3 linked regions of the Lepisosteus oculatus genome follow. The protein of the gene in region 3 interacts with the protein of the main gene of each other region in a pairwise test. Links are inferred from orthologs where the notes say so. Each region holds a gene or a part of one and is shown on either strand. Other genes may lie near its edges.

The links.
Region 1: the proteins of ubac1 (region 3) and rnf216 interact in binary tests that used the Homo sapiens proteins (3 or more experiments, as listed by UniProt). The link is inferred for Lepisosteus oculatus from reciprocal best matches to the Homo sapiens genes UBAC1 and RNF216.
Region 2: the proteins of ubac1 (region 3) and cpsf6 interact in a two-hybrid assay, tested with the Homo sapiens proteins (2 studies listed by BioGRID and IntAct). The link is inferred for Lepisosteus oculatus from reciprocal best matches to the Homo sapiens genes UBAC1 and CPSF6.

Annotation. Positions count from the first base shown.
Region 1 is NC_090714.1:10,450,648-10,457,636, forward strand, and holds the start of rnf216 (E3 ubiquitin-protein ligase RNF216), read left to right. Parts: upstream 1-3,979; 5' UTR 3,980-4,065; intron 4,066-4,093; exon of another isoform or gene 4,094-4,299; intron 4,300-6,762; 5' UTR 6,763-6,824; coding exon 6,825-6,891; intron 6,892-6,989.
Region 2 is NC_090702.1:23,479,113-23,486,385, reverse strand, and holds the start of cpsf6 (cleavage and polyadenylation specificity factor subunit 6), read left to right. Parts: upstream 1-4,263; 5' UTR 4,264-4,313; coding exon 4,314-4,373; intron 4,374-7,273. UniProt on the Homo sapiens protein: Component of the cleavage factor Im (CFIm) complex that functions as an activator of the pre-mRNA 3'-end cleavage and polyadenylation processing required for the maturation of pre-mRNA into functional mRNAs.
Region 3 is NC_090719.1:5,135,349-5,142,725, reverse strand, and holds the start of ubac1 (ubiquitin-associated domain-containing protein 1), read left to right. Parts: upstream 1-4,364; 5' UTR 4,365-4,592; coding exon 4,593-4,730; intron 4,731-6,060; coding exon 6,061-6,181; intron 6,182-6,996; coding exon 6,997-7,070; intron 7,071-7,377.

The DNA.
Region 1 (6,989 bases), on a different chromosome or scaffold from region 3:
ACTTTATTCCTTATCTATTAATCATGTCTGTGGGACTACTAAAGAGTTTATTAGTGAACCCTTTTTCACTAATAATTATAATAAAAGTTTGCTGGTGATGCCATTGTTGCCATTGGTGATGTCATTGTCATGTTATGGCATGCTACAGAAGTGATACCGTAAGAAAAGTCACAAACAAGAAGAAGCCCTTTGCCCCATTTAACTAATTCAGTGGTAAGTAGCTAATTGATCTGATTTTCTCATAGAGCCGCTTCTGGAAGGAAGCCAGAGTTTTAGCTTTATGTTTAAAGAACAGGTGGAAATAGCTTGTTCCACACTCCCACTGCCCTTCGCGTATGGATGTGCCTCCTGTTCTCAATGGAGATTAACTGTCCACTTGTGACCCTTGTGTTTCACTGTTGATATTCAGGTTGCTGGTATTTCTTCTCCTTTTTCTCGTTGTTATTGAAAGTATGATTCCTGAAGTTTATTTATATTACAGTAAATGCTCATTGGAATGCAAGCAAAATTATTTTCTTACTGGTAAAGCTCTAATTGGAGATGAAAATTGGCATAGTTATGTACGAAATATACTTTGTAGGAAATAGTGCAAATTGTACTGAAGTATATATTGCTTTCTTCGTAAAGTAATGCTCAACAAGGTAACATGCATGAAATCTGTGCATGGCATTGTTTCTACATACTCGTGCAACTAAAAACCTGCAGTTGCTAAAACAAACAAAGGGACTGTCTTCTATACCCACTAGTGGCAGATTACTTGATTTCATTTCTTTATGATTGACATGAAAAAACAATGGATAAAAGATATCAACAATGGATACATTCATGGCAGAAACAAAACAGATAACTGAATCTCATAAATCAAACAGAAATCTTGGAATCGGAACTGGAATCTTGAAACCCTTTTAGGCATAGCTGATTCAATTTTTGTTTTTTGATCGATGTCCTTAATTTTATACTTTCTCATTTCATGTTCCTTTTATACTTTCTCAGTACAGTAAATTATAGCTCGATTATTCACAAAGAATAAGCATTATATAAATTATCTTACAATCTCACATTATGAAATAATCATACACAACATAACGTCAAATAAGCATTTCCGAATTATCCTATTTAGAATTATTTGAAGATATAAAACAGTAGATTGAAGTGACAAACAGCTATGAAAGCTTTTCCTCTCCATGCCTTAAAAATGGTTCTCAAAGAAACTCTGGTCAGTCATGGGTAAAATGAAGTCGGAGTGCTCTATCTAAAAATAAAGACAGTGAGAAATTTTTATCCAGAGATCAAAATGTCCTTAATGGATTTTTAGTATATGGCACTGTGAAGTACTCTGAGGATGATGTTTTTGATGTAGCAGAAATTATAATACTTTGTTGCAGTGCACATTTTGTAAAGTGCACTTTATGTTTGCTGATAATATGATATTCAAATTACCTTCAGCAGTGTCATGTGAATACAGAGTTATGGTTGTTACAGAAAACAGCTGAATAACAATTTTAACCTCTGTATTATATGTGCATCTCCTGTGCATAAATATCTCACCCGCTATGCATCCACTTTGAGTTTCTTCCTCTCACCCCATCTTCACCCTTTTAGCAGCTCCCTAGCTCTATCCTCTGGAATAGAGATGGCCGTCCTGTTATGCTTGTCCTCATAGGTAGGCTGCCATCAAAAGAAACTTTTAATACATTTCTCCTCTAAGTCACATTAATTTGGATTTGGCCAATCTATTGAACAAAGCATTTGCAAGACAGATTTATTATATTCCTAATTGCAAAACACTGCCAACACATTTGCTTGAGAGTGTTAACTCCCCTTTGTATCATTTATGAGGAACAGAACTGATATTCTCTTGTTCAAAGATGTTTCTTGATGTTGGTCTTTGCAATAATCCTTCAAAAGATGGAGGCCAAAGCAATATTCCAATCAGCGCTTTTCTTGCCTATTGTGGACACAATCTGTTCTGGCCACCTTGTCGCCATGGATACCAGACCTCGTCACATTTACGGAGTTGTGCTCTCTTGTTCAATGTTTCTTATTGTCTTGTTGAGATAGTCATGACGTTGGTTGTGTGCAGTCGGTTTCTAAACCTTGTCTGCATCTTAAAAGAAAGGACGTAGTGAGGTGCTATGACTCCACGAGGAGCTTCATTATTCCCTTGAGCAAACTGCACTTCACCATGCATGTACTCTCTGGACTATGTAATGGATGAGGAGCATAGAACTAAGAGCAAATGAAAGACTAGGCCTCAAATTTTCAAAGCCTGATAAAGTCCTTGAAGTTGATAACCAATCCTCAAGGACATTGACAAGGACAACCCAGCAGACGACATCAGAACAGACATGGAAACATGACAAGACACAGATGGAAACTAGGTGGAAGGACATTTAAAATAGAGAAATGAAGGCAGAGGAATATGGAACAAGCTGTCCAGCCATGTTGTTTAAGCCGATACCCTGGCTTCCGTCAAGAAATGGCTTGTTGAGTTCTTCAGATCAACTGGCCACTAACTACATCTTGAAACCTTAGAAAAATAAAATAAAAGGGGGCTTTTCTAGCAATTAAAAGAAAAGTGAAACACCATGATGGAGAAATCTCAGGATGACTTCCATCAGAGACAGAGATAAAACAGGACCCCTGGCAGAGACTGTTTGGGCTAACAGGCTGAGGAAACAGTCCTCTTTGCTCATTTTATCATAAGTGTATTTTTTTTGTCAAAATTGTTTTTAACCTGAGATGGACTGGCATCCCATCCATCCCACTGTACCTTGCGGAGCCCATTGCTTGCTGGGATTAGCTATTAGAACTATTAGAAAATGGATAGATGGATGATTTAAAGCCCTTCATCTTAAAATGCCCAAGTGAAACTATGAGAAAAGTGTTATACTTTCATTTCCATTTTCTTTACCGTGATATTTATAAAAAATATTAGGGTAAAGGTGGCTGAGTATGAGCTTGCTGTTTTTAAATAGTGTGTTTTGTTTTCAAGCTTTAAAATTGGGAATTAATTCAATTAATTGGGAAGATTGACTGATCATAACATAGATTAAACAAAGTGATGGCAAAGCATAGAAGAAAACTAACTTCAGACCTAAAACTGGGATAAGCACTCAATTTTCAGCAGAACAAAGATGCATAATATAAGAACACTTGAGTAGCTTAAGATTTAAGAAATCAAAAGTCCTTCAGTAGCTCAGCCAAAGTCCTGACTTGAATCCTCTTCAGAATCTGTGGAAATACTTGAAAGCTGCTGTCAGTAGGCGATCACCAAGCTACCTGAGACAGCCTCAGCAAATAAATCTGCCAAGTAGAATGGGCAAAGACTTTACCAAGCCACTGTGCAAACTTGGTAGATATTTACCAAAAAAAAAACCTTCTGCTGTGGTTGGTGCAAAAGTTACTTCTACGAAATATTTGGTTCGCGGGTCTGAATATGTAAGGCGTAAAGTAACATTTTAGTTTATTGTCTTTGTATTTCACTGACATTTATAGCAACCGATCTTACACTAGGAAGTATTGAGCTTGAGCATTCAGGTTTTAAATAAAATATTAAGTTAAAAAAACACGTTTGACTCATTTTATGATTTTATCAAATTTGACCCCATAGACATGGTATGAATACTTTATGGTATGGTATGAATACTAGGGCGCTGGATATCTGTTATCAGGTAATTTTCCACAAAGTTAAAAAAATTACAACACGAGAGACATCTACTGGTACAAATAGGTAGTATCACAGTGGCAAGTCAAATGATTATTTAGAGATATATCTAAATACATGTAAAGATTATTTTAAACAATGAATGGCATATCTCTCATGAGATATCTCTAAATGATCAATTGGCTAGCCATATATCGCTTCTATCTAGTGTGTCTACCGGTGGAGTGATCCCTCACATATCGCAATCGGCGTAGTTTGTAGTTGAGTGAAGACTACATCTCCCAGTATCTCATGTGCGTGAGAAATGGGTGTCTGACGTTACGTTCCTCTGCGTTCCAATTTCCGGTCGGTAAAGACTGGCTGTGTGTGTTGTGTTTGTATTGTGCAGGAAGCGAGAGGTATGTAGGCATACTTTTTATTTAAAAAAATAAAAGTGTAGACTCAGTTATGCGGAATTGCTTTGCTAAATAGCTGTTCTTCGCAACAAAACCCCGCGATCAGTAACTACTCGCTTGTAGTGTCACTGTGACAAATGTTTGGTAGCTAAAGTTGTCTGACTGAAGACAGTGTTATGAGTTTACCGTCAAAAGAGAGAACAGCAGAAGTGGAAATGAAAGCAATAGTTAAAACAAGTGGGTGGTTTAAGTTCATGTTCACCGCGCTTCTTTAAGGAAAGATTGAATAGAAAGTGTTGCACATGTTAGTTTGCGATAATTACTGGAATGGAAAAAAAATAAAGGTGTTATTTCTGTTAAAATTACTAATGACGCAGAATCGATTAATGTTTATACTGCTCTGTGGCTGTTTACTTTCCTTAAGTAAACTCGAAGAGGCTTCATATCCAAGTAACACTTTGGAACATCGCCTTAGCTGATGATCCAGGGAGGTCGTCCTGTGGTTGTTTGTCTTACTAAACTTGTTTAAATGCTTTTTGTTTTATTGTTGCCATCTTGAAAAACTGAAGCCTCTGTATGGGAGCACAGAATGTGTAACGTGGCAATAATGAAATAAATGAGCAATGTGGTGGAAAACACCTAATATTTGTGCGTTACAACTGGGTCGACAGATTCGAAAAAAGGCTTAGATACTGCTGATTCATTTCTAGTTTTCAGGGATGTTACCGGTGTAGTTCAGCAAAACGCAGTTTTGCCCAAGTTTTATGAAATTAACTGCGTTCGCTGCATTTGCATTTCAGTGCCGAGGATAGACTAATTTCCAAGTGTATGCAGGTGTTTAGTGAAAACACCTTATTCATCTTGAACCTTTGAGCTACTGTGCAGTTTTCACATGCAGAGGAGGGTTCAAAATTCAGAAGCAGTTTTCAAGAAATGTGTGACTCACATACGAGACCCCCGTTCCTCTGGGTCCCTCTATTTCAGAGCTCCTGGCAAGATCTATAGATGTGTTTCGGTCTTAATCTTTCTAGACAGCTACTTGACAAGACGCTTTTAATGTCTGTAAAATGCTTTGAGAAGGTGACCTCTCAAACCCTTTGCCTCACCGCTGTTTTTTTCCAGCGTGATTTGATGAGGCATTCAAATGTTTTTCGAGATTGCAAAAAAGTTTCGGAAATGCTGGGAAACTTGAATGAATATTTAAGTGTTAGTTCCTTTCTCCGCACTGAAAGTAGACTGATCTTTGCGGGGGGGGGGGGGGGGGTTCTTGTATTTAACCTCGTATGCCACCAGGGGTATTCCCATTGCACAGTGCAGTGTGTCCTTTCAGCAAATCACGCCTGGCTCAAAGAAACAAGTTTTAAAGATGGGTTAAGCATTGTGAATGTGAACTGCATCACATGTTATACATTCTGATTGACGAATGTAACTCTAGACTGGGGAGCTGGTGGGCTGGGGTGAAATGACAGCTGGGTTTTAGTGTTACAGTACAAGGAAAGTAGAGGGACAGCTCTCGTTAAAACCGAGTTTGATCGTTCAGAAGGCGATCGGTTTTGGAAATGTAGCTCCAAGGCTGCACAGCAGGGTCATTATCAAAATTCCAGTTTTCCTCATCACTCTGTGTTGTATATTGTGCCTTGGAGCTTGTCAGCCACGGGCATTGATGCTGAGCACACTAACGTGACGTTTTGCTTTTCTGAAGTGTCCCTGTTTGTTTTATGTATTTGCACCTGTGCCACATTAAATCTGCCTGCTACATTTTTCAAATACAAATAAGATGTGAGAGCTCATCTTAGCACCTTTGGGGTTTCACTGCACGTTTAGCCCGAGTATAGCCTGGGGCAATAGGTGTTCACTTGAGTTCTGACTTTACTCGTGCTTTGACTAGATTTCGTTCCCCAGTTGCTATTGTTCAGATTTAGTGGCAAAGTATTTGTAAATCATTTGAAGTACCCAGTACAACCAAATGTACCTAAACCTCCTTTAACAAACTGTCAAAAAAATTAACTGCTCCGGGTTTCCACTTATTTTCTACTTGTGTCTTTTGGTTTTCAATATATGCTAAAGCATCATCATAATAATACACTTTATTTTATATAGCGCCTTTAAAGGTGGCTTCTCAAAGCGTTTTACAGGATGACAATAACAATAAATAAGGAGAATACACAAGATAAAACACAATTACAATATAAAGAGGAGACCGTGGATGGTGGTACTAAGAAAAGCAGAGGGGTGAAGAATGGAACCTGTTCAGTAAAGGCTTTTCTGAAGAAGAGGGTTTTGCGTCTGGATTTGAAGGAGTTTAGAGAAGGTGACTCTCTGATATCCTTGGGGAGAGAGTTCCAGAGCTTGGGGGTATAACAGGAGAAGACCCTGTCGTCCATACAATGTAGATGGGCTTGGGGGACAGTAAGGAGGGCAGACATACAATTCCTCATAATATAATATTCCTTTGTTACATGGTTGTATTTTTGCTATCGGCAGTCTGTTTATTTCAGGCTTTTGTATGTAGGCAGGCAGCCACTTGTTGAAATGAGTTAAAATTGGAAGTGAATAGAAACTTTGAAATGTGTTTACCAGGAGCTTTACATCCGTTTAAGTTTCGAAATTATCGCCATCAGCTGCTTTTCAGGTCTTTCTGTTTTCGCGCACCTTTTTTTCTTCTGTGCTGTATGACACCTCTGGCCTCTGCGTGTTGAGGCAGGAGCATGCCGAGGTGGTGACTCTGGGCCTGTGTGTGAGCCGGGGGGGAGCCTGCGATCATGGCTGATGGAGAAGGCGACGAGGAAGTGATTCACCTGGCCAGTTTCCACAGACATCGCGGAGAAGGTGGGTCTTCTCCCACACACTCCTCAGTGCAGAAACTCCACTTCAGTCTGATGTTTTATTGGGAGCACCCACAGTAGCATCGGAAATTGTAACGTCAG
Region 2 (7,273 bases), on a different chromosome or scaffold from region 3:
AATAGCAATAAGGAACAACAACAACAAAAAAGAAGAGTGCATTAGTAAAATTCATTAATTGTACCAGAACACATGCACACATTATTCTACATGGTGCTTAGAAACTAGGTGAAAGTGTACTGAAAACAGAAGACAAGAAACAGCTGGAAGGAGATCCTCGGATGGGCTAGACTCAAACAGTGTTCCAACTTTGCACTCAATTCTACAGTTCTGTCCTCTTAACATGAGGTTATTTTCTGAACACTGTTTTTAGGGTGTGATACAAATGGAATCACGCGACGAAAGGGCTTGTTTCTACTATTTCCTTGATGTTTGTCTTTTCCGTAAATTGAAGTCTTGCTGTTTTCATACCCGTTCTAAAAATGACCGTTGTAATGCTGCGTGGTGACAGGCGGAACACCACTAGAGGGCGCAGTGGACACGATTTAGAAAAGTTCATTTTGGAGAAGAAAAATTGAGTTTTGTTCTGCTTTTAAACAATTAAATGAGAAACGTCCTGGACGTTTGACGTTACGTCTGTGTGGAGTATATGTGCAAAGATCTGCAGCCACGGTACCAGAGGCGACGGTCTTCCAAAATCACATAGACTGCTTTGCTAGAATTATTCATCACCAGTTAATTTAATGTTTCAGTCTGCGACAGCCTGTAAAAAAACTTCTTTATGACGGTGGCTGCAGTGATAGTGGCAGACACTACGTCACCTTATTTCAAGGGAGAAACATTTATTGTCCGTGGGACGTTATTGCATTTGGTCAAGTGCTTTAACTTGTTTGAAAAAAAGCTTCTTTTTGCGAACCATGTCTGTTTACAAAGGAAAAAAAGGGAACTGAAAAAGACAGGTGCTATCTTTAACGGGGATATTAATACAATTATTTTTTAAACCATTAAGCCATTAAACCCTTAAGAAAGCGCAGTCCTGGGTTCGTTTCCATTCTGGAGATGTGTTAGTGTACCTGTTTTTCACTGAGTTTGTACTGTATTGTATTGTACTGTGTGTCTCATGGAGAGCAAGTTGGGGTGTGCGAAAAGACAAATTCCTAATACAATAAATTTATATGGCCAATAAAGTGATCTTATTTTGAGTGACTTTGTTACATAATCACTAAATCCCCTCTTCAGTGAAAGAGTTTATTGGACACAGGTGATGAGCTGATTGTGTGCCTCAGATGAACTCAGCAGCTGTGGAGTCAAGACCTCTTCAGACATGAATCTACGTGGAGCACAATGTCTGATGGATGCCTGTGAGTGTGGCACAGTAGTTGATGGCAACCTGACTGCAAGGCGCTATATTGATCAAGTCCTGGGTCCTCACGTGCTGCCTTTCCTGCTAGCTCATCCCAAAGTGACAGCACTTCCAGCAGAACATATTCCCACGCTCCTCGTGATAATGGCTTTCCTGACCATAATGTGACCGTTGTGCTCCAGAGCCCTTCTGCCAACTTGAGCCCCACTGGCAGTTTGCAGGATGATGACAGAGATGACATTGGGCGTCTAGGGCAGAGAGACCAAAGTACACGCTTGTTCAGGCTCTAGGACAGGAATGGGACAGGATTCCACAAGACAACATCTGCAGCCTGTTGCAGTGTATGTGCCACACATCAGAAGTGGTTACATACTCTACTAGACTACAACATGCACAATAGGACCCTCCTGGTGTTCAGTCCTGCTGATGCCCAGTATTAACCAGCAGAATGAATTTGCCTGTCTTGTCTCTTCAATAAAATGTTAGTACAGCTGCTACAAGAAACATTATCAGTTAACTGACACTTTCTGAATTTGTTGCGACTCTTTGGATGCTGTGTATACACTTATATATATATATATTTTTAAAATTATTTAATGTCTGGGGTTTGTCATTTGCTTGGTAATTGTGAATTTGTTCCCGTTACATGTCATGTATTTCTTGATATAATTCCAGTTTCACTCCCTCACTGTGGTTTAAATGTTTCCCGTAATAGGATGACTCATGTTCCTGGCAGTTTTCTTAAAATTTCTTAATTCAAAACTGCTAGTGGGTTTGATACATCACCCATCTGAATCTCATCCTAACCAGAATTAGATTTTTGCTTGGTGTGAGACAGAATTGAATTCAATCTAGATATCTGGACTACCTCGTCTGCTTCTCTATTGTAAAAAAAAAACCACATGCCGTCCAATTCAACACTTTCTTCTATATCTAGTTAATTTGCTTTATTCTTTATACTGTTGAGCCAATGCTCTACATGATGTTAGTGCAAAATGCATCAAACCTTAATGATCCCAATCCCAGATGTACCGTATGACGTCAAAGAGATTTTCACAATGGATAGTCAAATTAACAGATATTTCAAGTGATACATTGTAGGTCTATATAGAATACAGTTACAGTCGTATTCAATAGAATACATAGTATTGGCACTAACCTTATCTAACAGTGTCCAGTGCTAATCGTTAATGTGTATCAAATTAAATTTCTTAAAGTATGCTTTTTTGATTATAATATATTTTATAAAGATACTTAATAACCAGTCATCCCAGAAAATACAGTTTTAAATTGAATTTACTAGCCCAAGTTAAAATATAGGGTGTACATGAGCATCTATAGAATCATCTATAGAATTAAAAGAAAGACGTTTTCACACCCTCTATTTTAGATTAGTTTTAGATTGATTTAACAAGAAACCTTGGCAGGATGAAGAAGTACAGTATTTAATTAACGTGAAAGAAATGTTATTGTCAATAACTATTGACATTATTCTTATACATATTATGTATAACACTTTATTACAGTGTATTACAGTGCATTTGTATTGTTGTAACCCATTCTTGTGACTGTGGATTCTGTTACAATCTAATATAGATACAGATACCCCCTTCTGCACAAATCTTTGGCTTTGCAGCAACATAGACGGTATATGACAGACAAAGCACCATTGCAGAAATTATTCAGATAATCCCACACTTGTCAAAATCTGCATTTTGCAAATAATGGGGCACTTATTTCAGGGAACTGCTCTGAGATTCCTAGCAGGACTACACCTCTTTTGTTTTGTGCTACATTTACCGATATTTTCCCAGGTGCAAATTAACTCGACTCCTGGATTTCTTGATCATAATTTTTAGGGTTTAGGGTCTTCTGTAACTAGACTCTCTGAAACTATACCATGGGCAATTAGGTCACGATAAATTCTTTAGGTGAAATGTACAAAAGCCGTCTTCAAAATACAAAGAGTTTCGCTCTGTCATGTTTGAAATAGTAAGCCCTGACCCCAAGCTTCTCTCCATGTCTGTGTGTCTCATGGAAAGCAAGCTGGGGTATGCGAAAAGATGAATTCGTAATGCAAGAAATTGTATATGGCTAATAAAGTGATCTTATAAAAAACAGCCCTGAAAGGGGTCCGTTTATGAACATACGAACAAATGTGAAAATGTTGGCCGTAGATGTCCATGATCACCGTGCACCACCTTGTGGAAAAATTACTTAAACTCGTTACTTCTTTGATGTATTTTTAGAATCGATCCTACAATCGCTGGACACAAGATTGTACGATAGTCTTCACTACACACCGCTGTGCAAATTATAGATTATTATAAATTTGCCTGTAAAGTCTTGACACCAATATTCCATAACAATTCGATCAATATTTTAATCCATGCGCTCATGTATTATGAAACATTAAAATAACCGAACCTTTTTTTAAGAATCGTCATCTATTGTACCCCAGAAAGGAACTGTACCACACGATAGTGCTTATACGACTGTGTGGAATGTTACTGTTAGGTCTACTGGAGAATTCGTGAGCCCATTACATACAGTATACAATAATATCTGTCCCTGTGCATTGTGGTATTATTGCTTTAGTAAAACTGATTTAAAAATGGTTCTTATTTTGTATATTTGATTATGTGGGTCGTGTGCTCTTATCACATCATTTTATTATCATGTTATTCATATTTTATCGTTCACGTGTACATTTTTGCATGTACATGTTGGATTAACGGCGCCACCTAAATTAATAATTATAACTGTGCATTTTAGATAATTTTCCAGAATTTCACACTATGACCTTGATTTGCCTAAAGAGAATATTTAGCGAGCCGGTATCGACATCTCCTAAATTGCATAATTGAGAATAGTTTGTGAAGTTCTGTTATCGTAACCAAGTTAAAAAGCAGCAACTTGTTACGCTTAGTCAAAAAAAAAAGAGCCGAAGTCTTTACACCCTCCTCCTCTCTTCTGTGTTTGGCCGACCGTCGGATGTGACGCGCAGTGTTTTCCTGTTAGCAGTTTTATTCTGGTTCAAGCCAGTCGGAGGAGGAGGTAAGAGTGGAAAATGGCCGACGGTGTGGATCACATCGACATCTACGCGGATGTTGGCGAGGAGTTTAATCAGGTGAGCATGCATTATTGTTATCCTCTCGGTGCGTAATGCAGAATTGCAATTTCGTTTGGAAGACCGTAAAAAGGACAGCCGTGTTTGGGTTTGTTTAATGCACCTTTATAGAAAGGATTTCTATTTTTGTTCAGAGAAAGACCTCGAGGGAGTGTTTTTTTTTTAGATTAAAGGGTTATATAAGCGAAGGGCCCAGCACCCTGGATTTTCGGTGCCCTTAACGAGCCGGGGGAGGTGAGCCCAGTCTTTCGGCGCTGCGCCCCGCCGGAGTTTCCCGGAGGAGCAGAGAGAACGAGCGGCGGCGGCGGCGGGCGGCGCGGCGCGTGGGAGCGCTTCCATTGTTTGTGTCGCGGGCTGAGGCCTTGCTCGTGAGCCGCGCGGGGACGTGCACGTCCTCGGGGAGCAAATGTCCGGGCTTAGAAATACCCCCCCCTTCCCGCCTCGCCGGAGTCTGATCACCGTTCATTTAAAGCATTAAGTATTCACAGGGCTAGAATTAAAACGGTGCGTGTAGCTGACCTTTTGTTTTTGTTTGCATGCTTTGAAGCTGTAAGCGATCCCAGTGTAATATGACCCCTCAGACGTAACGTGATGTTGACGAAATTTAAAATATAGCACTCTTGCGACGTAAACACCACGTGCACCGTTTTTATTAATTGCGATAATTTTTGGCGCCGCTGACATTTTCGTGCTTCCTTTTGTTTAGTTCTGAGGGTGATGTTTTCAGCGTGTAATACTTTCATGGACACATTAAGATGTGCTCAAAATTATTTTGGCGTTTCTTCGGTTGTTCGCACGTTTCGGAATGCATGATACTCAATTTGCATGTTCAACATTTATTAAGTATTTTTGTGCAACGTATAAAGTAGACCCAAATCTTATTTTTGCTGAGACACATTTTCGTCTTAACTTTCATTAAGCGTTTGCAGCGATCGCACTGAGAATCTTGTTGCATAGATTTGTTCTGTGAGCTGTAAATTAAATTGGGGGTCTTTCTTAAATACTTGGAACGGAGTTGGGGGGGGGGGGCGTTTTCTGTCTGCTAAGAGCTCGTTTGAAGCGTCTCATTACAGCCTTTAACTTGAAATCGTGACTTTCCTTACTGGGTTGGCGTGCTTTTCAAAATGCTATTGTTCTCGGTACCAGAAAATCAAGGTAGTTTTTGTACGGGTTTCAATTGCAGACCTGCTGTCGTTGAAGTCATCTTAAAACTTCTCACAGTTAGTGGTTTAGGTTATGTAGGCATCAGCCCAGGCCGTTTCTGAAAAGAATTTTCATGCACACTGTCCAGGAGTGATCGGTCTCAAAGGACTGTGTACTGTGGGGATTTCTGATTGCGTCCCGCGCCCTCAGATTTAACATCTAAGGTTTGTGTTTGTTCGTTGTGAGATCCCAATTGCGCCGGGAGCTGAATCCCCGAAGTTACTGTACGAAGAGTTCCGAGAGTGTATAATTTCAGCCGGGCGCATCTGGGTGAATAATTGTGCTGGGAAAAGACATTTTTAAAATGTGCGGTACGTCGTGATGGTTTGCGCGCCTGCGGCTTCTAAAGCGTGAAAGCGATTGAAGTGCGTTCCCACCTCGGTGGCGGTGATTTAGGTCTCGGAGTGCAGAGCTCATTCTTAGCAGTGTGTTGCGTTTTGGTACTGCAGTACTTCCGTGTGTTATCGAGTTGTGCTGCCTCCAATTTTATTGGGGTGTGGCGGATGGAGAGTATTCGTTCTTTTGGGGGGTGGGGGGGACTGAATAATACACTGATACACTTACGCAGTGTCCAGTACTCATCAGATTATCACAAGTCAAAACTTTGTTCAGGGTGCTTTATAGTTAAGCATTTATTGCATTCCGCCGCGATTGGAATTAGATCGGGCAGCGGGGTTAGTTTCCCTCTGTCCGTCCATCTTCAGAAAGGTGGTGAGAGCTGTGGCAGACTGGACTCTTGGAAGCGAAGGTCACAAGGTGGAGACCGAGCTCTGGGGGGTTTGCAGGTCTATAGTAGGGTGCACACGTATGGGCGACTTCGTCGCCGAGCTCCGGGGGGGGGAGATGCAACCTCCACATTGTAAACACCCCCCCACCCCTACCCCAGACTCGATCCCAAGGCTGATCAGAGACTAAATTGTCCTTTCACTTGTTTATTCTTTCCTTCCTTGGGGGTGGTACTCCTTCCTTAGTCTTTGTGCAGACTTTGGCCTCACCTGCACTGAGGTTTGTAAACACTGCCCTCTCAGCCCTGGGAAGCTGGAGAGCTTCTGTATATTCACAGCTCAGCCCTCCTGGTTATGGCAGATATTCGGCGAACAGGGAAGCACAATGTTACAACGGGCTGGACCTGGGGGTCATGAGTGAGGCGGGTGTTTTTAAGCAGGGCTTTTTGACAGGGTTAATGTCGTTGCCACACTATAGAAACTCATGCCTTCTAAACATCTTACTTTTGCAGCTAACAATATTCTGGGGGACTAGGACTCGACGCTGCTGGTCCTTAGTAAAATCCGATGAAGGCTCAGCATTTGCGTTGGCATATTCACACTCGAGATGACAGGTGGCCTGGCGCGGTAATCCTAAGGCTGGACATCCGGCCTGATTTTCAGCAAACTGCTTTTTTGGAAGGGGTGTATCGCATGAAGACAGAAATACTGTAGGTCAGAATAACGTGCTGGGAAAGGACATACCATGTCCACAGGGGACATTACTATCCTTCCGGTGGTCTTTATTAGTACTGCATTTCATATAAGACAGTGACTGCTTCAAACTGGACGTGCGTACTTTGGTAGGCCTCAGTTCACTCTGGTTTACTGTCAGTATTTCAGAAATCTGAAAAGTCACTTGTGAAGAGGCCTGTTCAAACATTTGGTGTCGAACGTGGGTTCTTTTAGACATGCCCTGCCCAGTGCTGAATA
Region 3 (7,377 bases):
AGATCTCAGAATGTTGTTCTTGTCATTCAGGTAACTGCCACTACTTTTCATGATATAAGCCCCTGGTAGAATTTGGTTTTGTGGGAAAATACTGTTTATGTCCAGACTGTGGTGAAATTGGATTCCAATATTTTGAACAAAAGGAAAATAGAAAAAAATGTCATTCCTGAGGTGCACAGCAGTTACAGAACAGGGATGCTGTTTGTCTTGTGTGTAAACATCCTTGCCAGGGCACAGTATTTATAATTTACTGCACTAGGATCTTTCGGGAATTGTAAAGAAAAGGGCGTTGTCACATGCCTAGTGAACAAGTGCACCAGACTAATCTGTCTATGCAGGAATGGAAAATAAAGAAAGATGGGACAAACGTATTGTCTGAGTAAGTGCAAAGATTGCACAGTGTTTTTTGACACTTTTGTCTTTGTTCTTTCAGAAAACAGTTGTGTTGACAAACCATTTGAGGTGCTTTTAGGAAAAGAAGAGGGAAGATTCTTTCTTTTCCTTTTTTGCTCATCTTTAAAATGGTTTTCAATGACTGTAATACTTGTTTGAAGCAAGCCTGTGGCCAGGTGTGTTTAATGTGTAAATAAGGTGTTTTTACGAAAGCAGGATTTTGTTTCAGAAATCTAAGTCTTAAATGTCATGTCAATTAGAGATGTCACAATGTTTAGAGGGATTTTTTGTTTCATCATGCATACATTACATGTATGTTACTCAGTATTACTGAGGAAGAATTAAATATAAATATGTTGAAATATATATAAAAGAAATGGGATCTGTTTCTAGTCCCTACATATTAAAAAGAAAAAGAAACAGTAAGTCTTTATAAATCATTATTTATTGATTTCTGCTGTAATACAAGATAAGCCACTCTGTATCCTTGGGATTTAGGGTACGATGTATGAACTCAGCATTTTTAAAAGAAAAAACTTGTTTTGTAGCGTTCTAATCTGTTGTGATATTGTGACATCTCTAATGCTTTTTTGATGAGCATCTGATGGTGTCCGTTCTTACTGTCATGTTTTATAAACTAGACTGTAGTTTACAAAGGAAATGTAATACAATGTCTGTAATAAATTACCGACCTGCAAAGTTGTAGTTTGCAAAAAAAGTATTTTCTGTTAACTGATTTGTAAATGATTGTTTCTTGCTACAATAAATGATGCCATTGTCTAGGTTTTACTAAAACTCATCTTAAGTCTTTTCTTCTGTGGAGTAAGCATTCATTGAAAATGCATGCAGTTTTCCTAACTGGCATTACATGGTTTTAACATAAAGGTGTTTTTGGTAATTTTACATCCATCACAAGGCCTCTTTATCCAAATTTTGACAAGTTCAGTACTACATTGTAGAGTTTCAGAATTATTTTCCTGTCTTTGTGAGGCTTCTCATTTATTTTCTATATTGAAGAAAACATTCAATTATTCTATTTCTTAACTTTACATCATGTCAGCCACATGCAATACAGCCTTTTAATTTGCACAAACTCTGACAGAATTTAAAAGGTTTTCTGTTACCTGTGTATTTTTCTCTTCAGATATCACTGCTATAAAACATTTCCTCAATTCTCACAGTGTTAGTATAGGATCTTAAGAGTGGTTTAATGGTCAGGATTGATGTTAGCAGCAGGTTTTGGGTTGGGTCAAAAATTACCCACTTACTAAGCAGCAATATGCTGTTTGGATTCTCTTTTGTTATGTGTAAAGTGTTATTAAAAAGGGTCTATCTGGCCTTCAGTGATGAACCACAGTGCTAAAATACAGACAGAATTACCTACTATTAATTGGCATAAGTACCATATACACATATTGTACTGTATCTAATTAAGGCCTTACTGCAAGCTATTAGGGACATCCCGAGAAAGATAAAATGTTTTATTTGAAAGAAAATAAAAAAATAGTTTGACTGAAGCATCCAAAACGTTCCAACTCGAGTAAGGTTAACGAATGGACTGAAAACAGTATAAAGCAAGACGTTATTGCCAATATTTTATTGTGTTCGGGTTGTGTATAATAAAATCGTACAAATTAGATTGGGAAAAGTAGACCTCTCAGCTCATCTTTTTGGGTGTAAGATTTTGGTTTCATGACAACCGCACTTCACTGTAACCTGACAAACTCTTCAAACAGGCTCAGCGCAGCTCCTACGCGGTAAAATGTCTCCTGGACACGCACACTTGGCACACTTTAAAACCTGTTGTTCTATCAATTTGCTAGTTAGCAATACATAACACAAACGAATAAGTTGGGTATCATTGTTTCTGCCGTTTGTAGGGGGGGTGGTTCACGTTGATACTAAGGGATGGGGTGTCCTACATCGGGAGTGTTTTGTAATGTTCTGCGAGGTTCAAACGATGAAAAAACACCGGCGTCTCCAAAGAAAGCCAGTTGGTGATGAACGCTCTACAGAGTACAGCCAGTTCTCGTTCAACTTTGCCGTCGACAGCAGAGTAGTTTATCGCCATACGTACAGTACGCGTACATTGGAATTCTTAATCGCACTGATCTCTCGGGACGCATACAGTACAACGGACAGCACCACACAATGTAGACAACAGGAACAATAAATATGTAGTAGACCAAACAAAATGGTAGACTATGTAAAAAGTGTGTAGCGCAGATGTGTATTAAGGCACTGCAGTTAGCTGTTGAGAATGCATACTTGAGTCAAGTGGTCCATGATTTAACAGTGTGGTATCGCTTGCCAGAAAGGTAGGGGGGAGAACAGGTTGTGGCCTGGATGGTTGGGATCCTGTGAATGATGGTGTGGATCTCGTCGATTGATGGTAAATCACATCCTATAATCCTCTGTCCCATTACCACAACCTTTTGTAGTGCATCTCTGTCATGCATGGTAGTATTGTTGTACCACACAGTGATGCCGCGGTTAAGCACCGCAGAAAGTGCAAGCGCTGTGCCTTTTTCAGATTGGCTATTGTGAGTCTCTTAGTCATCTGGGATGACGTGAGGAGTGGCTTTCACAAAGATCCCAGCGCAGGTGCAGGGACGATTATATACCACACTCGCTCGCAGCACTATTTTAACGTGTGACCTATGACCTGTAAATCCCGTCATTGGTTATCTGATGACATATTTGAGCCATTAGAAGATGACTGGAAATATTTTAAGTGTTTTCCGATAATGATTTCTCCGACTGCATGGCGTCGGTTTACCATAAGGTGACGCACAAGCAAATATTGAATATAGCGCGTATGACTGATGGTAAAGGGATACAAAATTATCGGATTATTATGAAAGTTATAAAGGCGGTAACTAATTTGTTTTTTTTTACTGGTGACTGGTGACTGGTGTTATAACTCATAATGATTGAATTTCCCACAAGAAACCAATTATCTGTGAGAAGTTTTATTTCCAGCGAACTTCTGTACCTTCTTTCTTGACCACATAACTTGACAACCTTTGCAGGTGATATTTGTTTAATTAGAGTCCGCACCTCCAATGATAATTTGTTCAAAACTGTATTGAAACTGGAGTCTTGTTATAACCTGCTCCACAGATGAGAACTGCTTTTCTTGTCTCCAAAAGCCCAACGCCGAAAATGCAACGTAAAATGTAGCCGTGTGTGTATATGATGAGTGTAAGTGTCTCCGTTTTAATTTTTGTCTTGAAACCCTAGTTTTGGGTTCTTATTAAATGTGGGAACTCTCAGTCTTTGTGTTGCCTATTTGTTGTTGTAGGTCGCCCTCCGATGGAAAAAATAATAAGCGCATCCTCTCCCTATCATTGTTCTTGGGATGGAAACAATACTACAGGAAGTACTATCGGTCGGGCTGGCATTAAAAGAACAGTGAAAAGTCGGTCATTATTTGATACTTCAAAATTTGATCAGAAAAACCTGAATGGATTTGTCTTTAAATCTTTTTACTTTTGAAGGGGACGGGATATAAAGTTTTCTAATAGATTGAAAGGCAGCAATAAACGGAATACCACAAAAGCGTGACTATTTTTTATAGTTTATTTTTTCTAGAATCGTAATGGTTTTCAAGAATCGTTTTGCTCAGGGTGTTTGATCCTAAATCTGTTTTGGAAGGCTATTTCATAAAGCTAAATTATTCAATTATCAATGCCATTTTAATGCTGTATGTTTAGATATCGTACGCCGTTTATTAACTATAGCTAAAAAAATATGATTTCACATACAGCATGAGTAATAATAAAAATACCTAATTCAAGTTTTCAATATTTCAATTAAATGTTGCAGGATATATTTCAGCTTTTCATTTGTCCTATCAAAATTAATAATATTTTCATTTAATGTATTATAACAGACTTTTTTCCACTGTGTCGCCCACTTGTAAAACTTCAACTCCCAGAATACCTCCGAAGGTCTTCCAGGTCAGAGTTTAAAGTTCAATCCCTGGACTTGAGCAGCAGCGGTATTACGGAGCTTCACAGTCCACAGGCCTGCCTGATAGGTAAATAGCTGTCAAGTCCATCAAAAAAGAACAAACAAACCGCTGTACTGTACTGTTGATGTACAATAATCGAACCGGACAGCCAGTAAAATGGTGACAGAATAAGAGCTGAGCTGTTGACTTTTCTATTAATCTTGGATTTCGAGAGAAGAGGGCTATGTTTGTGCAGGAGGAGAAGATTTTTGCAGGGAAGGTGCTGAAAATCCATATTTGCACCATGGAGGGGGCAGAGTGGTTGGAAGAGGTAACCGAGGACACCACCATTGAAAAACTCAAGGAAAAGTGCTTGAAACACGTATGTCTTCCTGTTGTTTCTTATGTTATTTGAATGTAATTAAACGCAGATCGTCAGGACAGCAGTAGCCAGGACGTTATCAGGACAGTGACTGAATTTCCCGGTAGGCCTGTTAGAACTGTCATACTCCGGTATTTATAGAAGAGCGCTTGTCTAGGCTATTTATAATTTAATTTACGCGTCGACCTAACAGGGTAATTTTTTTCCCCCCAAAATTGTCATAGCTCCTCTTCCTTCTCGTAATGTTTGCAAGCTGATCTGTTTTCTTTAAATGTAACGCTTCTTGCCCATATCATTTTCAACTTGATAGGTTTTAGGTGTCTTGTTGCTTGTTTTATTTATATTTGCACATTGCCGTTGTCCTAGCCACTAGTATCATCAGCCGGTTAACATTACCGCCTCTTAACTGCCTCAACGACGAATAAAAACAGAGCGAAACGATTTTTTGCATGTTGTATTTTCAGTATACTCTATATGAAATCTTAATAGAATAGTATTTTCCCAGTTGGTGTAATAATTCTTGATTTGATTTGTTGTCGTTTTCCTCCATTTCATTCTTAGCTAGAAAGAATGTATTTTTGTTTTACTAATATTGGACTTTTTGTGTGTATTCTGTGTAGATGTAACTTCATTTTAATCGTTTTGCTAATTTCAACAAAAGATGAACCAGAAGACACAAGTATAGTTAAGGTTTGGAGGTGCTTTTAAAACCAATAACAGGAGAGTTGTGGGAGTATGGAACATGCTTCCCAGCCATGTTGTTGAAGTCAATATCCTGGTTTCTTTCAAGAAACAGCTTGTCGAGATCCTTGAAGTAATTAATAAACTGCCAGCTATGGAGCTGATTGGCCAAATAGCCTCATCTTATCTGTGACCTTACGATCTTAACATTTAGATTTTGCAATGGTTCTGTTGTGGGGAGGTGGTATGCATTGTTGCCTCACTGCACTTGGGCCCTGGATTCACTTCTGGATCTGGGGTGCTGTGTGTATGGAGTTTGTATGTTCTACCTGTGTGCCTTTCGTTCCGCAGTCCAAAATCGTACTGCTCGGTTAATAGGGTTCTGGGAAAACTGTCCCTGGTGCGAGTGTGTGTCTTGTGTGTGTGCGCCCTGTGATGGACTGGCGTCCTGTTGAGGATGTGCCCTGCCTTGCTCTTGTTGCTGACCTGCATAGGCTCAGGTTCCCCTGCAACCCTGAATTGGATGAAGCAGTTAGAAAGTAGATGGATGTGTGGATTTCTGTTGTGACTAATTTCTGTATATGAAAGTTGTTTTAAACTTGTCAGAAGCAAGAGAGTTACACATTTCTTTTTTTCTTCTTTGCTCTAGTATGTCCATGGGAGCCTAGAAGACCCTAAGACTGTGACTCATCACAAACTGATCCATGCTGCTTCAGAAAGAGTCCTAGCAGACACTAAAACTGTAGTAGAGGAGAATATTAAAGATAAAGGTAAGTAGTGTTGAGAGGAAGAGGAGTTACAGGTTAAAGTTTGTGGGAGTCTTATCCAGTTTATCCAGCCATGCTGTTGAAGCATATATCTTGGCTTCTTTCAAGAAATCACCAGAATGGGGTCCTTGGATCATTTAAATATTTACTACCAATTGCCTAGATGGGCTGAAAACCATTTGTATCTCATAAAGATATTTCATTATTCATCCTTTTTTTATTGTGATTAATTTCAATGATTATTTTGGCCTCATGTACAATATGTAATAATGAAATGTCTTGAGGCTGACACATTCAGAACTAAAAATGAGGAAGGTTTTAATGTTATATTTAGTATCTTACTAAGGTTGACAAACTCTCATTTAAGGTTTTGGAATTGAATACCACATCAATTAGCTACTGCTTCCGAATGACCTCCTGTTATTTGTAAGCAGTCTTATGGTCTTTCTTATGTTAGATAGTGGTACCATAATTCTGACTGGTAATATAATGCATAGTTTTGTATTGTACGTTGGTGTACTCATTAAGTTGTTTTTCACTTGCAGAAAAATGGGCTGGATGACTTTTTAAAGCAGTTATGTAGAAAGGGCTTGACAAACACCCAAGTGTAAAATAGTTTTCTTTTATTTTCCTTTTGTTGGATCACTGTTCTTGGAATGTTCTGAAAACATCTGTTGGGGGAAAAAAAAAAAGAACTAATTTTGAAAAATTGTTATAGAGTGATTGCACCAAAAGAGACTGCAATGGTACAAAATTACATCTGAGGAGAATTTTCATCTGGTACCTTCTGTTATGGACCATTCTGTTTCCTCTCCTAGATGTCTTACTGTTAATAAAAAAGAGACCACCTCCTCCCCCACCGAAGATGACTGAAGTGTCTACAGAAGAAAAGGTAAAATATTTTAAATACCTAGTGAGAGGCCAACAAAATATTTTAATTTATAATAGCACAAATATTCCAGAATGAGCTGGGTAGAGGATGCATAGGAGGCTACCAAACACGCTCTTCTTTCAGTGCTGGAATATATGCTAATCCGAACATGCCTATTCACTTTTTTGTTACAACTGGAGAGAGTTCACAGGGGTGTCAAATGCTAACAACCTCACACCAATACCTTGTAAAAGTTCACTCTGGCACCTTAAGTCAAAGAGGGAATTCAAACAAGAAACCAGTTTCATGTTCAAGTTGTATGTTTAAT